3 linked regions of the Caenorhabditis elegans genome follow. The protein of the gene in region 1 interacts with the protein of each later gene in a pairwise test. Each region holds a gene or a part of one and is shown in the gene's direction. Other genes may lie near its edges. The genes, in order: syf-1, C50E3.13 and isy-1.

The links.
Region 2: the proteins of syf-1 (region 1) and C50E3.13 interact in a two-hybrid assay, tested with the Caenorhabditis elegans proteins (one large-scale study listed by BioGRID).
Region 3: the proteins of syf-1 (region 1) and isy-1 interact in a two-hybrid assay, tested with the Caenorhabditis elegans proteins (one large-scale study listed by BioGRID).

The regions. Positions count from the first base shown.
Region 1 is NC_003279.8:3,875,063-3,880,030, forward strand, and holds the start of syf-1 (Pre-mRNA-splicing factor SYF1), read left to right. Parts: upstream 1-2,000; 5' UTR 2,001-2,003; coding exon 2,004-2,069; intron 2,070-2,116; coding exon 2,117-2,236; intron 2,237-2,281; coding exon 2,282-2,938; intron 2,939-2,985; coding exon 2,986-3,158; intron 3,159-3,546; coding exon 3,547-4,322; intron 4,323-4,376; coding exon 4,377-4,486; intron 4,487-4,956; coding exon 4,957-4,968. Other genes in the region: uba-5 (Ubiquitin-like modifier-activating enzyme 5), read left to right, coding at 1-70, 120-665; T03F1.12 (Protein SYS1 homolog), read right to left, coding at 1,103-1,220, 1,268-1,440, 1,486-1,641.
Region 2 is NC_003283.11:7,621,914-7,626,881, reverse strand, and holds C50E3.13 (uncharacterized protein), read left to right. Parts: upstream 1-2,629; 5' UTR 2,630-2,729; coding exon 2,730-2,768; intron 2,769-2,811; coding exon 2,812-2,913; intron 2,914-3,292; coding exon 3,293-3,388; intron 3,389-3,438; coding exon 3,439-4,356; 3' UTR 4,357-4,555; downstream 4,556-4,968. Other genes in the region: F07C4.6 (ShKT domain-containing protein), read right to left, coding at 1-32; grsp-4 (Glycine Rich Secreted Protein), read right to left, coding at 479-528, 576-629, 765-824, 959-1,018, 1,149-1,211, 1,303-1,347, 1,395-1,433, 1,758-1,929; C50E3.12 (uncharacterized protein), read left to right, coding at 4,853-4,891, 4,949-4,968.
Region 3 is NC_003283.11:10,998,720-11,003,197, reverse strand, and holds isy-1 (Protein isy-1), read left to right. Parts: upstream 1-2,498; 5' UTR 2,499-2,517; coding exon 2,518-2,589; intron 2,590-2,655; coding exon 2,656-2,730; intron 2,731-2,773; coding exon 2,774-2,928; intron 2,929-2,975; coding exon 2,976-3,477; 3' UTR 3,478-3,535; downstream 3,536-4,478. Other genes in the region: F53B7.4 (Low-density lipoprotein receptor domain class A), read left to right, coding at 664-734, 799-1,024, 1,068-1,206, 1,256-1,344, 1,392-1,491, 1,537-1,642, 1,798-1,976, 2,019-2,209; nssp-65 (Activin_recp domain-containing protein), read right to left, coding at 3,569-3,776, 3,919-4,061. UniProt on the Caenorhabditis elegans protein: Regulates the processing of the mir-60 microRNA (miRNA), which in turn negatively regulates the expression of the transcription factor zip-10. Does not affect the splicing of zip-10.

The DNA.
Region 1 (4,968 bases):
TGGAGTCAGTGAGAATGCCGTGTCCGGCCATATTCAGTATATCGAACCAGGAAAGACGGCGTGTTTTGCTGTAAGTGAAGTTTCATCCTTGAAATCAAAACAAATGTTCATTTTTTCAGTGTGTTCCTCCACTCGTTGTCGCTTCGGGAATTGACGAGCGTACGTTGAAACGCGATGGAGTGTGTGCTGCGTCACTTCCAACAACAATGGCTGTAGTTGCTGGATTTTTGGTGATGAACACGCTGAAATACCTTCTGAACTTTGGAGAAGTCTCCCAGTACGTTGGATACAACGCATTATCAGACTTTTTCCCTCGTGACAGCATCAAGCCGAACCCATACTGCGACGACTCTCACTGTCTGCAAAGACAAAAAGAATACGAAGAGAAGGTTGCCAATCAACCTGTGGATCTTGAAGTGGAAGTTCCAGAAGAAGAAACCGTCGTTCATGAGGACAATGAATGGGGAATCGAGCTGGTAAATGAGTCGGAGCCATCTGCAGAACAATCTTCAAGCTTGAATGCTGGAACCGGGCTCAAGTTTGCTTATGAACCAATCAAGAGAGATGCCCAGACTGAATTGTCGCCGGCTCAAGCTGCAACCCATGATTTTATGAAATCGATCAAGGATAAACTCGTCGAGGAAGCCCAGAACAAAGGAAAATAATTGCCAAAAATCAAAATATAGATTTTTCCCATATTCTTGTCAATATTAAAATTGCTTTTATAAGCTAGTCTCTCGCCTTCCATCACACTCGCTAAATAATTTATTGTCAATCCCCTTCTTTTTTTTAGGAGCCAATTTTGGGTTTTTAGCTTCTATTTTTCCTGTATTCTGTCCCCCCTTCGCTCACTATCCCCTTGTATTGCATATTACACATCATCTGTGATTGAACTCCCTGTTTTCTATTTTATTCATAAAATCTTTATTATTTACTTTCTTCTGACTTTCTCATGCTCCTAATTTACAAGAGAAGAAAGAAGAAGAAACATCAGTTTATTTACACCGAATTAATTGATAATTTACAGGAACTGTCTATTTAATAATCGAATCAAACACCCGCAAAATGAGCTGAATAATTTAAATATGCTTCTCTGATTATATTAAAGATCGTAGCGAGAAGGACCACCTTCCAATTTTATTTCCTGCGATTCGATTCGCATGCACAGATATTCTCCAAGAACCGTGCAAACTGTTGTCGATATTACTTGAAGAATCCACCTTAAAAAGGAATTTGAATTTCAAAAGTTTTATAATTAAATCCTAACCATGTAAATTGGGTTGGAAGAGCATGGTTGTAAATAGTGGTAAATATTAAATGGAAAAAGTGCACTGTACAGGCAAAATCCAGGCATTGTTTCGCACGTTGCACTAAATGCGACAGTGCGAATGAGACTCCGACGGCGGAAACTAATTGAATTAATGCCATTGATCGTTGTGTCTGAAATAATAATTTTAAAATTAAATAGACTGGGAAAATCCAAACCTGTATTGAGAAAATAGAGGAAATGAGAGGTTCGTAGCCGAAAAAGCTGCAGAACAGCATTACTGAAGTTTGAGTAGCGTAGAAAAATGTCTGAAGACACGTCATTTGACTGACGAGGAGCACTGGATCCCAGACAAACTGCCGAAACGACGACATTCTGAAAATTCGGATACTTGCACAGGGAAACCGAGAATTTATCAATGTTTTGTAGAAAAACACATTCGAAGTACATGATTACAAAATTTCAATAATTAAGATTAATAATTAAAATTGAACAAAAACAATTCACATGTGAAATCACAACGTTTTTTTTCGATAAAATCTTTTTTCCTGAAAAGCCAACGCGTATTTCCACACCAGACTACGGTCCACAATTGCGTACTCTTTCGGTCTGCATACACCAGAACCGACGATCAAAAATCTCCCGCATTTTTCGAAAATTAAATTTTATTCATATTCTTTTTAATATTTAAAGCTCGGATTACTTTTAATTTGTTATATTTTTATCTTTCCAGATAATGGCCGACAAAGAAAATGCAACAAAAATTGAAAAAATGCCGAACTCTGAGACGATGAAAGGGATCGTAAGTGAAGAAACAATCAGAACAGGAAACAATAATGCAATTTTCAGTCTTCCGAAGATGTTCCGTTTGAAGAGGATATCATTAGAAATCCCACGTCAGTAAATTGTTGGCAGAGATATATCGATCACAAATTGCAGAACAAATCTCCTGCCAAGCAGATGTTTTTGGTAATTTTCATTTAATTTTCTTCAAAAAACATTTTTTAATTTCAGATCTACGAACGTGCACTTGCAGTTTTCGAAAGAAGCTACAAACTTTGGTATCATTATCTGAAATACAGAGAAAGCACAATTGTCAACAAATGCCCAACAGACAACTCCTGGAGAGCACTCTGTGACACTTATGAGAGATGTCTCATGAGATTACACAAGATGCCACGTATTTGGATTTGTTACTGCGAAGTGATGATCAAAAGAGGCCTCATCACAGAGACCAGACGAGTTTTCGATCGAGCTCTCCGTTCTCTTCCAGTCACCCAGCACATGCGTATCTGGACATTGTATATCGGCTTTCTGACAAGTCACGATCTGCCAGAAACTACAATTCGTGTCTACAGAAGATATTTGAAGATGAATCCGAAAGCTCGTGAGGATTACGTTGAGTATCTTATTGAAAGAGATCAAATCGACGAGGCAGCAAAAGAATTGACAACTCTAGTAAATCAAGATCAGAATGTTTCGGAAAAAGGAAGAACTGCACATCAACTGTGGACTCAGCTGTGTGATTTGATCTCAAAGAATCCAGTAAAGATCTTCTCGCTGAACGTCGACGCAATTATTCGTCAAGGAATCTATCGGTACACGGATCAAGTTGGATTTTTGTGGTGCTCACTAGCCGACTATTACATTCGTAGCGCAGAGTTCGAAAGAGTAAATTTGAAAAAGTGTTTTTTTTCTGAGCACAAATTTGATTTCAGGCTCGAGACGTGTATGAGGAGGCTATTGCTAAAGTGTCAACTGTACGAGATTTCGCTCAAGTTTATGATGCTTATGCAGCTTTTGAAGAACGAGAAGTGTCGATTATGATGCAAGAAGTGGAACAAAGTGGTGATCCGGAAGAAGAAGTTGATCTTGAGTGGATGTTCCAGAGGTTTGTATGTCAAAAATTCAAAAAAATGACCTAAGTTCAGCTATAATCACCAATTTCGCCAACTTTTCCGTGTCGCAGCGGTCGTAACATGACATTTACTTGATTAATGTCAGATTATTCGTATTTTTTATTTTATTTGTGCAGTTTATCTAACGCTAAGGTATATTAAAATTTAAAAAAAATCAATGACCGGGCACGGAAAAGTTGGAAAAAATTGGAGATTTTAGCTAAAATTGGCCTTTTTTTCGAAATTTAGCACCGATAAGAAGCCCTTTTTGAAAAAAATGTGTTGAGCAATTTTTGCAAAATCTCTTTGTAAAGCCTTTACCTTTACCTTTACCTTCAAATCGTTTAACTATAAATTTGTAAAACCCTCTTGAAATTCCAGATATCAACATTTGATGGAAAGAAAGAATGAACTAATGAACAGTGTACTTCTCCGGCAGAATCCACATAATGTTGGAGAATGGCTCAACCGAGTGAATATCTACGAAGGAAATTACAACAAGCAAATTGAGACATTCAAGGAAGCCGTAAAATCTGTAAATCCCAAAATTCAAGTCGGAAAAGTTCGTGATCTCTGGATCGGTCTTGCCAAGTTGTATGAGGATAATGGTGACTTGGATGCTGCTCGTAAGACGTTCGAGACCGCTGTGATCTCACAATTCGGAGGTGTCAGTGAACTTGCAAATGTGTGGTGTGCGTATGCCGAAATGGAAATGAAGCATAAAAGAGCAAAAGCTGCACTGACAGTTATGCAACGAGCATGTGTTGTTCCGAAGCCAGGAGATTACGAGAATATGCAATCAGTTCAAGCAAGAGTTCACAGAAGTCCGATTCTATGGGCAATGTACGCGGATTATGAGGAATGTTGTGGAACTGTTGAGTCTTGTCGGAAAGTTTATGATAAGATGATCGAGCTTCGTGTAGCTTCTCCACAGATGATTATGAATTACGCAATGTTTTTGGAGGAGAATGAGTATTTCGAGCTGGCATTCCAAGCCTACGAGAAGGGAATTGCTCTGTTCAAGTGGCCCGGAGTTTTTGATATTTGGAATACATATTTGGTCAAATTCATTAAAAGATACGGTGGAAAGAAGCTGGAAAGAGCACGTGATTTGTTTGAGCAATGTCTGGAAAACTGCCCACCAACCCATGCGAAATGTAAGAACTTTTGAAAAAGTTGAAATAAATCAAACAATACCAAATTTATTTTAGATATTTTCTTACTCTATGCCAAACTGGAAGAAGAGCACGGACTCGCCAGGCATGCTCTTTCCATATACAACAGAGCCTGCTCAGGAGTTGACCGTGCCGATATGCACTCGGTAAGCACAATTTTTTTTTTGTAAAATATTGAAAAATGTTGAAAGCTCAATTTTAAATTAAAAAATCCTGAATTTTCAGCGCTTTAGAGCTCAAAAATACCTGGAAATAGGAAAATCATAGCTTTCTGCAAAGAAAAAGGCACAAAATTCGAAATTTTCAGTCGAAATTGCGCATAGTGTAGCTTTTTATTCGAAAAAAACTATACGAAAATCCAATATTCCTGCTAAAGACGCAAAAATTTTTGGAATATAAATGTTTTATTTTTAATATATCTATAGCTTCCTGAGACCAAATGTTGTAAATTCTTGCTGAAAATTGACAAAAATTGGATTTAATTGAACAAAACGACGCAAAAATTATAGTTAAAAACACTTCAAAACAACAAAATTTCGCGAAATTCAATTTTTCAAACGAAAAATCACGATAAAACCCGATAAAACCCGCAAATTCTTCAAAATTGTCATTTTAGATGTACAATATC
Region 2 (4,968 bases), on another chromosome or scaffold:
AGCACAACTAATACTGATACAACAACATACATTGTGAATTATGAACGGCCTATCCGCATCCCCCTTTTTTATATGGATTCAATGGTATCAAAATGTTTAAACAGATGGATAGTTTTAAAGGGTCGAAGTTTATGAGGATATTGTTTGAACAGATTTTAATGGAAGCTTGGTTTACACCACAACAAATTGTTTACTATCAAAAAATTAAAACGGTATTTGAACAGCGATTGTTAGAGCGTTAATCTCTAATTTCCGTGTGTTCGTTCATTTTTCGTCGATATACAATTTGCTTAATAAATGAATAAACGAAGTAAGTCAGAACTGAATAAAAATTAGTTTAGCCTTGATATAGTAGTTGTAAAAAGAGTAATTTTCAAGTGAAAAATGTTCACAAAAATGTAAAGTTTTTCAAAGTTAAAGTTTAATTTGAGTTTTTTTATTATTTATTAAAATCAAATGCTGATTATAAAAAACAAAGTTATCCAAGAAGAGCTCCAAGAACATTATGGGTAATACGTTCGCCGGCAGCTGAAAAAGTCAAGTTTTGATAACTTGAAGTTTATGATGCAACTTACAAATTTGTGGACGTCCTCCTCCATTTCCACCACGGCCTCCTCCATTGTTTCCTCCTAAACGAGAAAATATTTGAACATTTAAAATTATTTTAAATTATGATAAACACATTTTCTGAATCTAACAGTCCCATTGAAAAATCTAAAACGATGATAGAAGAATTATAATTTTTCACTTAAACTATTGAATACCTCCGTTTCCACCGCGACCTCCTCCATTTCCTCCACGGCCGCCTCCGTTGTCACCAAATCCTGAAAAGAGTGTATTTTTATTTTTCAACCAGGCTATTCTTTCGAATTTGTGATATTTTTGTAATAATTGCTTAGATTTTAATTTTTGATTTTAAAAGCTTTGAAAGTTTTCAATAACTTGAGGGAAAACTGACCTCCTGTACCACCGCGACCTCCTCCATTTCCTCCACGTCCACCTCCGTTGTCATCAAATCCTGTAAATAGTTTAACAATACATTCTAACATAATCATGCTTTGGAATTTGTGGTATTTTTAAAAAAAGATTGCTTGAAAATTTTTAATTCAAGCAACTTTGAAACTTTCAATAGTTGGATTGAAACCGACCTCCGTTACCACCGCGACCTCCCCCATTTCCTCCACGCAGACCTCCGTTGTCTCCAAATCCACCTAAAAATTGAAATTATTAATTGTTAGTTTGATCTAACACTTCAAAAAAAAAATCAAAAATCAATTATTATACAACAAGAAGAGTTCTTACCGTTTCCACCTCGTCCGCCTCCACGACCACCTCCATTAAATCCACCTGAAATATCAAATTTAAATAAACTGAGAATAAAAATAATAAGTTACCATTTCCATTGAAACCACCACCACCATTGTTCCATCCGTCTGGAATTGAAATTAACTTTATCGATAAACATGAATAGCTCAAATTATCTTTTTTTGTTCAAACAAAATATGTCTTGTTTCTGTAGTTTATAATTTAATATTTCTTGTTATCTTTGATGTGAGCGAGGATAAGAACTGAGTCTTGTATAGGATATAAGGTCCATCAAACACACGATGCACTGTTTGAAGAAGAATATGTTCCGATAAGTAACAAGGAAGTCAATTTTCCTATTTTGATCTGATAAAAATGCCACATACCTATCAAACTTTAGATAAAGAAGGCCAAAGTTTCACAAAAAAAACTCTCACAAAACAGGAACTTACTATTTCCTCCAAATCCACCACGTCCACCGCCATTATTCCATTCTCCTGGGCCACGTGGTCCCGGTCCTCCAGATCCAGGTCCTCCAAATCCAGGCCCACCGAATCCTGGACCCCATTGACCGACGGTGAGCCCAAGAAGGGTAACAAGAAGGAAGATGGTCAATTTGTACATACTAAACATACGAAAATATTGTTTTAAAGTTTAAAAATACTTGTAACAGGTTCAAAACTCAATACACATTAAGGGAAACTGAGAAATAAATGAAAGAACAACTAAAACTTTTTCTCCAAAACTTCCTTTATGTGGTGCCACGCCTCCTGTCTTATCTCGGTCTTTTGAAGGTCGGTCAAGACGACCTAAAAAAGAATTTGACACATAAAGTTACACCGAAACATAATGATGATGATAGAAACAGAATTTCACACGAAAAATTACAAAACTTATGTTTCTTTGATTTTGACTTGATTTTGAAGACAAAGGTCAAATGAGGAGGAATTTGGATAGTTAAAGAAAGATCAAGTTATCACAAGTTATTTTATTGAAAGATTGTCGGGGAAAATATTGAAAATTTTTGAAAAATTTTAAACACTTATTAAAACATCAAAAGAACCGCTGGAAATATGCTCGAAATTTCTATAAAATTTGAACTGACTTTGCTTCAAAAATTCAAAACTGTTATTTGGGCACAAATTGAGCCGATTGGATGATTGAATTTTTAATAATTTTCCTTTATACGTGTTATATTTATGTAAATGATTTCATAAATTTTTATTACTTTAAAAAATATACTCATGATCTACTAAAATAATTTTGATCTACAAAATTCTCCAGCGCTGAGATTTCTTTGTTCTCGCAAAATACTCCTTGATCTAATTATTAATTAAATAGAACAATGATCTAATTGAACTCATTCTTCTCTTTCTTGTTACGATCCAAACGTTTTTCTTCGAGTTTCCTCTCCACGCCGAGTGATGTCCGGACCTGAAGAATTAGAAGCGGGAGCCAGTGATGTAAGTAAAAGAATTTAACTTTTTTTTGAAAAGAGCAATTCAGAGCAACGCCGGTGGATCGTCCCGACAAGGACAAGAGCAAGAACGAGTTGAGCCAGTATTGGAAGGAGTTCCGCAGCCAAATGATCAGGAGAGCGCAGATGAGGTATTGAATGAGTTCTTGTGGGATTCTAAAGATTACCTAGTGCTTTAAAAATTACCACGGTACCTAAATAGTGAAAATGATTTTTTGTTTATTTATACTTTTTCTGAAATCGGAGAAGCAAACGAAATAATAATTTATAACACTTCTGGCTTTCAGTTTTTTAATTGACCGAAGCTGAACGTTTTGTCTTCAGTAAAATTAAACTTTGTGGGTTTAGCTTTTGAGAGGATTTATGTTTCGTAACAAAAAGAACGAGATTCTTTCGATTTTCGGAGAATGTTCTGGAAGTTTTTTATGTCTGCTTTTGATTCATTTTGTGCAATTTTCTAGTTGAAGGTTGATTAGTGGTGAAGTCAGGCTTATTTTTTTTATTTTACAGGATCTCACTGCCAGGCAGCCACCGATTCAACCACAAGTTCCAAACGCATCCGATAACCTGCAAGTTCCACCAAATTTGGAATACTTGATAGCAGTGGTAATACTGATTCTAAAAATATAACAACTTTTCCAAATTTTATTTTTCAGAATCCCAGTCAACTGATCACCACTATTCAAATTGGAGCAGAAGTAGCACGACTAGAAGAATTGGAAGATGAATATCGGCAGGAGCTGGAACTAATTAGAATGACAGAATCACTTGGAGAGGAACTCTTACAAAAAGAAAACGAACTCAGAAGTCGAGCTGGATATCTTGGAAGGCTAGATGTTCTTGAAAATCGGAGAAACTACGAAGACGAGGCTGCCGAAAATTTGGCTATCCGAACTGTGCAAAACCGAGTGCTTCTACTGAGAAGGGCGCGGGCCGAACTGTATGAAAGGGAACGAATCGCCCGAAAAACCTTTATTTGGAGATTGAGAAGATTTAAAAATCCAACAGATCAAAGTGTTAATACTTGGATGGAAACTCTGAATGATCGGTTGAACCGTGTCGCAAATTCCTGGGAAAGACGACGGGAGCCGCATGAACAAGCGATTCGAGACTATGAGCGTTTAGTAGCTACTCGACAACGTACCGAAGAAGATCGTCGCAGGGAACGTGCATCAAATCGGGCCGGTCCTTCGAACCAAGAAGATTACGATTCTGAGGATGAAGATGAACATCATGTCGATGAATTACCAGATCTTCTTGAGCTTCTGAGTCTTGTGGTCAACCCTGTTATAGGTGGCGGAGGAATATCAACTAATCGTGCAGAATATTTAAATCCGCGTGGAACAGAAGGCTTGGGTGCTGATGATCCTGATTTGAACGATAGTGGAGGAACTGTGTATCAGAGTGACGAAGAGGAATCAGAGGATGAAGCAGAGATTGATCATCAGGAAGGTCCATCGAATTGGAGGCCCAAGCGACCACGTCGTGATGATGATGAAGGAGGATCGGGAAGCAGCGCAAGCATGTGGAATGCTCCATCCACATCTTCCCAGGCTCTTGGAAGAAGTTGCTAAAATAATGATGAACTCAAGTTGATACTAATTTATTTTAAATCTTTATTTTATAATCCAGTCTGTTTATTTTTTAATATCAATTTTCTTTGATGTATCTTATTTATTTTATTTCATTTCAGGTAAATATTGATTAAATATTGATTACGACCTTTATTTTCGATAGCAATTTTGACAAAAAACGATAAAAAATGATATGAAATTTTTTGATCTACAATGTACGCATGTTTTAATGTTTTTTGTAACGCGGGAGGGGGTTCCCCTCGAATATTCATAAGACCGTTGTTGTTTGACCTACAATTGTCCCGGAAAAATTACCGGTGTCCTTTTCCGAATATTCTTCCTTTCCCTCGCTATAATCGATTGTTTTGGTCAGTTATATTTTTTTTCTATTTTAATTTGACAATTTTCAGTTTTCCCTCTTTTAACTTCGTTTTAAGTTTTAAACAAAATTTGTAAATTTTCAGATTACATCTCAAATCGCTACTAACTGTAAGAGATGAATGTGTCTGGAGAGTCTGCAGCTGATATCGAAGAGGTAAGATTGAATTTTCCTGTTTCAAAAATTAAATTAAGCATTAACATGAATGTTTAGAAGACAAATGGTGAACCAAC
Region 3 (4,478 bases), on another chromosome or scaffold:
AGCAGAATACAAAACGCTCATATTGGTTATTTTCAGAAACCTTGTATTGTAATGATTGCCAGACGTCAAGCAAAATACTATGTCGATCGATTTCTGTCGCATTCTATTTCAGATTATTGTCAACTCGAAAAACTGCCGTTCTCGTAATAGTTCGATCATTGTTCGCACCTCGTCGATAAAAAGTTCTGCTGTTCCGATATTCCGAGCTATGGAAAACTTTTAAAAAACATTAAAAAACAAGCTACTCTGAATTCAGCAATGCCCAATGAAATTTAACAATGTTAATTTTCAGTGTAACATAATATTAAGCTAACAGACATTTCAATAACAAAACGGTAATTCAATGTTTCAAAACGTTTGAAAAATACCAATTATCTTGCAAGAATGATTGTGGAATTAAAAAACATGATATTCTTTCAGTGAAATCGTGCAATCAGCCAATTTCCCAGTTTCACTATCAATTATCAAAATCGTTTCCGCATTTTTCAATTATGTGTTATATTTAAAAATAAAGGGTAAACGAACTTGAGTGGGGAATTGAAGATGATGTGCATCCGGAATGCATTTTCTTTCCGAATTGATGAAAAATATTGAATCTCAATGACTTCTTCACCCACCTTTTCGTTTTCTTGCCATGCGTCTTTTTTTTTTTAGATTTCCGAAATGTTTCTCAATTTGACATTTATTTTATTTTTCATAACTATAGAAGCAAATGCTTATTGCCCTTTTAAAAAGTAAGATTAATGTTTGAAGTCAATTTTTAAGAAAATGAGATCATGAGAATTCGTAAGTTTTCAGAGCATACGTCGATGATATTTTAATGATAACAACTGATGATTACTTATCTGTTGGGCAAGATGAAACATCCGAAGTTTGTGAAATTGAAATTCAAAGTCTAAATGGAAATCTTATACTTGTTTCCATTACCAATTTCCTTATGTTTTCCCATAGAAGACCACGGAATCCAAATGAAATTATATTACGAAACTCTGATATGCAGTTCATTGTGGACAGCAAGCCAAAGGTTAGATTACCGTAACAGTTACGAGAAATTATTAAAATTTTAGGGTTATCAATTAATGAAAACTCCAGTATGGTTGACAATTCCAATGAATCTGAATTTCCGATCGATTTTATTGTTTTCAAATCCAAAGGAATGCTCTTCATATGAGTCTATCAGATGTCCAGAATACAGCCTATGCTACAGTAACCTCATTTTTCACACAAAAACTGTTTTACCATTACTGATTTCTAGATTGCTCCAAATACTGTTTTTCTTCGAGTCTAGAATGTGATGGATTGGATACTTGCGGAGAAGATGAATCAACTTGTGCATTTATTACTGTAAGAAATGGTTTCAGAGATTCGAAACATTTATTTTATTTTTACAGCCACGTACACCTCACACTTCATACAGATATGGTAGAGATGCTTTATCATCAAGTCAGATTATGTTAATTGGATTCTTCGCTTTAAATGGATCATTTATAGGTGGATTCACATTTTCGAAAAAAAAAGATAACTTTTGGTTTACAGTATTCTTTCTGATATTATCACTATGTTCTGCCGGATTGTTCTATCGTTGCCCATTTTATGCCAAAAACAGCAACGCGTCTCGGCACACTTTTATTCGATATCTTCGGTGAGTCAACATGTCTGAAGTAGTATTATATTCAAAATAAATATCCCATCCGACACAAATAAAACAACTTTTTATGAGCTTAGAGCGTCTGAAAGATTAACCATAAAGCTCAAGGAAATACTTCCTTATTTAGTCTTAATTCTATATTATTGTAGACAAGCAATTCCTCCTGCACTTGCTCCACCACCTTCAGTTCAAGGGGACCAACCAAAAGATGAAGGAGAAAAGACATTAACTGTTCCGTCTACACCTACAGGTCATACACGACATCGTCATTCAATTCTGAGCAGGATTAATTTTCAACCTGCTCCTGCTTTGAGTGAAATTGAACCTGGTATTTGACAAAATTAGCTACTAAAACCATAATTTTCTTTAGAAGTGGAGGACAGAGAGCAATCACCACAAGAATCAATTTGTGAACCACCTGCACATCAGCCAGAAGTATTCCTTCGACGGCAAAGTCTTCCATTTGGACTCACTGCAGTTCCAGTCTCAAATGATTTAAATTCCAAAACTGATGATAAACGAAATAGATTCGCTTCAAGAGCTATGTCTTTTCAACATTAAATGAACTTATTTGTAATAAAGCTTTTACATTTATGATTTGTTTTCAATCAGAAAGAAACACTTTAAAAATTGCTCAATGATTGAAGGGTGTAAAATATTGAATTTGAATAACCGCCAATTGCTGCACAACGATACTCCGCTATTGCGCGAAAGTGCGCTCTATTTAGAAAATTTCATTTTCAAACATTTATTTTTTCGAAACAAAAATGCTCAATTTACTTTATATTTTTGTTTGATTCTGCTTTTATATCTTTTTATTTAATTTCGCAATTAAATTTAATTGTTTCAGACTTACTCGAGCTTTAAAAATGGCCCGAAATGCGGAAAAGGCTATGACGGCGCTAGCACGATGGCGAAGAATGAAGGAGGAAGAGGAGAGGGTAAGTTTTTCTTTTCATTTTACTCTTTTTTTTTGAATATTAATATCAAGATAATTTTAATTGCAGGGTCCTATTGCCAGAAGACCCCACGATGTGAAAGATTGCAGGAATTTGTCAGATGCTGAGCGATTCAGACGAGAGGTTAGATTTTGTATGAAAACCTGTAATTTTGAACTTTATTTAGATTGTGCGAGATGCTTCGAAAAAGATCACAGCTATCCAAAATCCTGGTCTCGGTGAATTCAAGCTTCGGGACTTGAATGACGAAGTTAATCGACTGATAAAACTGAAACATGCTTGGGAACAACGTATTCGAGAGTTGGGTGGTACGGACTATCGGTAAGAAAAATGACAATTAGACATATTATTCTTATTATTATTTTCAGAAAGTATGCACAAAAAGAACTCGATGCAATAGGGAGGGAAACGGGCAATTCCCGAGGTTACAAATATTTTGGAGCTGCAAAAGATCTTCCCGGTGTACGCGAACTATTCGAAAAAAGCACAGAAGGTGAAGAACAACGACGCCATCGTGCTGATTTATTGAGAAATATCGACGCTCACTATTTTGGTTACTTGGATGACGAAGATGGTCGCTTAATTCCTTTGGAAAAACTAATTGAAGAGAAAAACATTGAACGAATCAATAAGGAGTTTGCCGAGAAACAAGCTCAAAAGCAACAAACTGCTTCCGATGCAGCACCTGAAAATATCTATAAGGTCGAAGAAGACGATGACGACGACCTGGAAACTCAAGAGTCTACAGTCATCGGAGAGGATGGACGACCAATGACTATTCGTCATGTTCTACTGCCAACTCAACAAGACATTGAAGAAATGCTTTTGGAACAAAAGAAGCAAGAACTCATGGCTAAGTATCTGGATTGATTCCTTGTTTAATTTATTTTCTTTAAATTTTTCATCTCAAATTATGAATTTTCGGTTTTATTCATTTATTTTATTAATTCATAATAGAAAATTACAAAATTAGAAAAATGAAAGAAGATAATACAAGTAAACTGAGCGGCATCGTCGTTCGTGATGATGTGTTGCAGAATTCTCTGTGCGAACACATACACGCTATCTCAGATAACGATATCCTTTTGCAACCTTCTGGATAGTATGTGTGAATAAGTGTATCGTGAGGAAGGCAAGTGAGAGCAATTGAGACTCTGTTTAGATGGTTTCTGAAAATTAAGTTTGGAACTATTCAAATATAGAAATTGATTTTAAGTCAAGGTTTTGTAAGGTTATTTATTTAAATTTATTTTTGGTTAAAAAAATAGTTTTCCATTTGGATGGAAGGTTAAAAATTTGAGATCTTCCAACCTCTGAACTCGAAGACAAGCTGCTCCTTCGCACAATGAGCATGTATTAGATATCGCACAATCTGAACCGTCAAGGCACCACATCTGATGACTGTCACGACACAGAATTACAATGACAAGAAGAATTGAGACGCCGACGGTCATCGGCGCTCGAGCATGACCGGCTGAAAGTGGTGTCTGAAAAACTGACCAATACGAGTGAAGTTTATGGACATCAAGAGAGATGATGAATTGAGAATAATGTGTATTTGGGTAGAAGAAAGTTCCGTTTTATAAGTGAAAATCGATGAAAAACAGTAAAACAAAGAAATGGGAGGAGCCTATTTAGGGAATTCCGCACGTTGCACTTTTTTCCGTTTTGAACCTACCTAAAATTTAGATTATCTGTTTGACTGTAGACATGAACAATTGAAAAAAGATAGAATGGCTGATCACAATAATACTTTGAAAATAGGCTCCGCCCAGATCTTGGCTTTTTGAGCTTTCTTGGATTTAATTTTTTTTTCTAACTTTTGTCTTATATTCTCACAACTCCGGCGCGATCCCCTTCCCGAGACTACA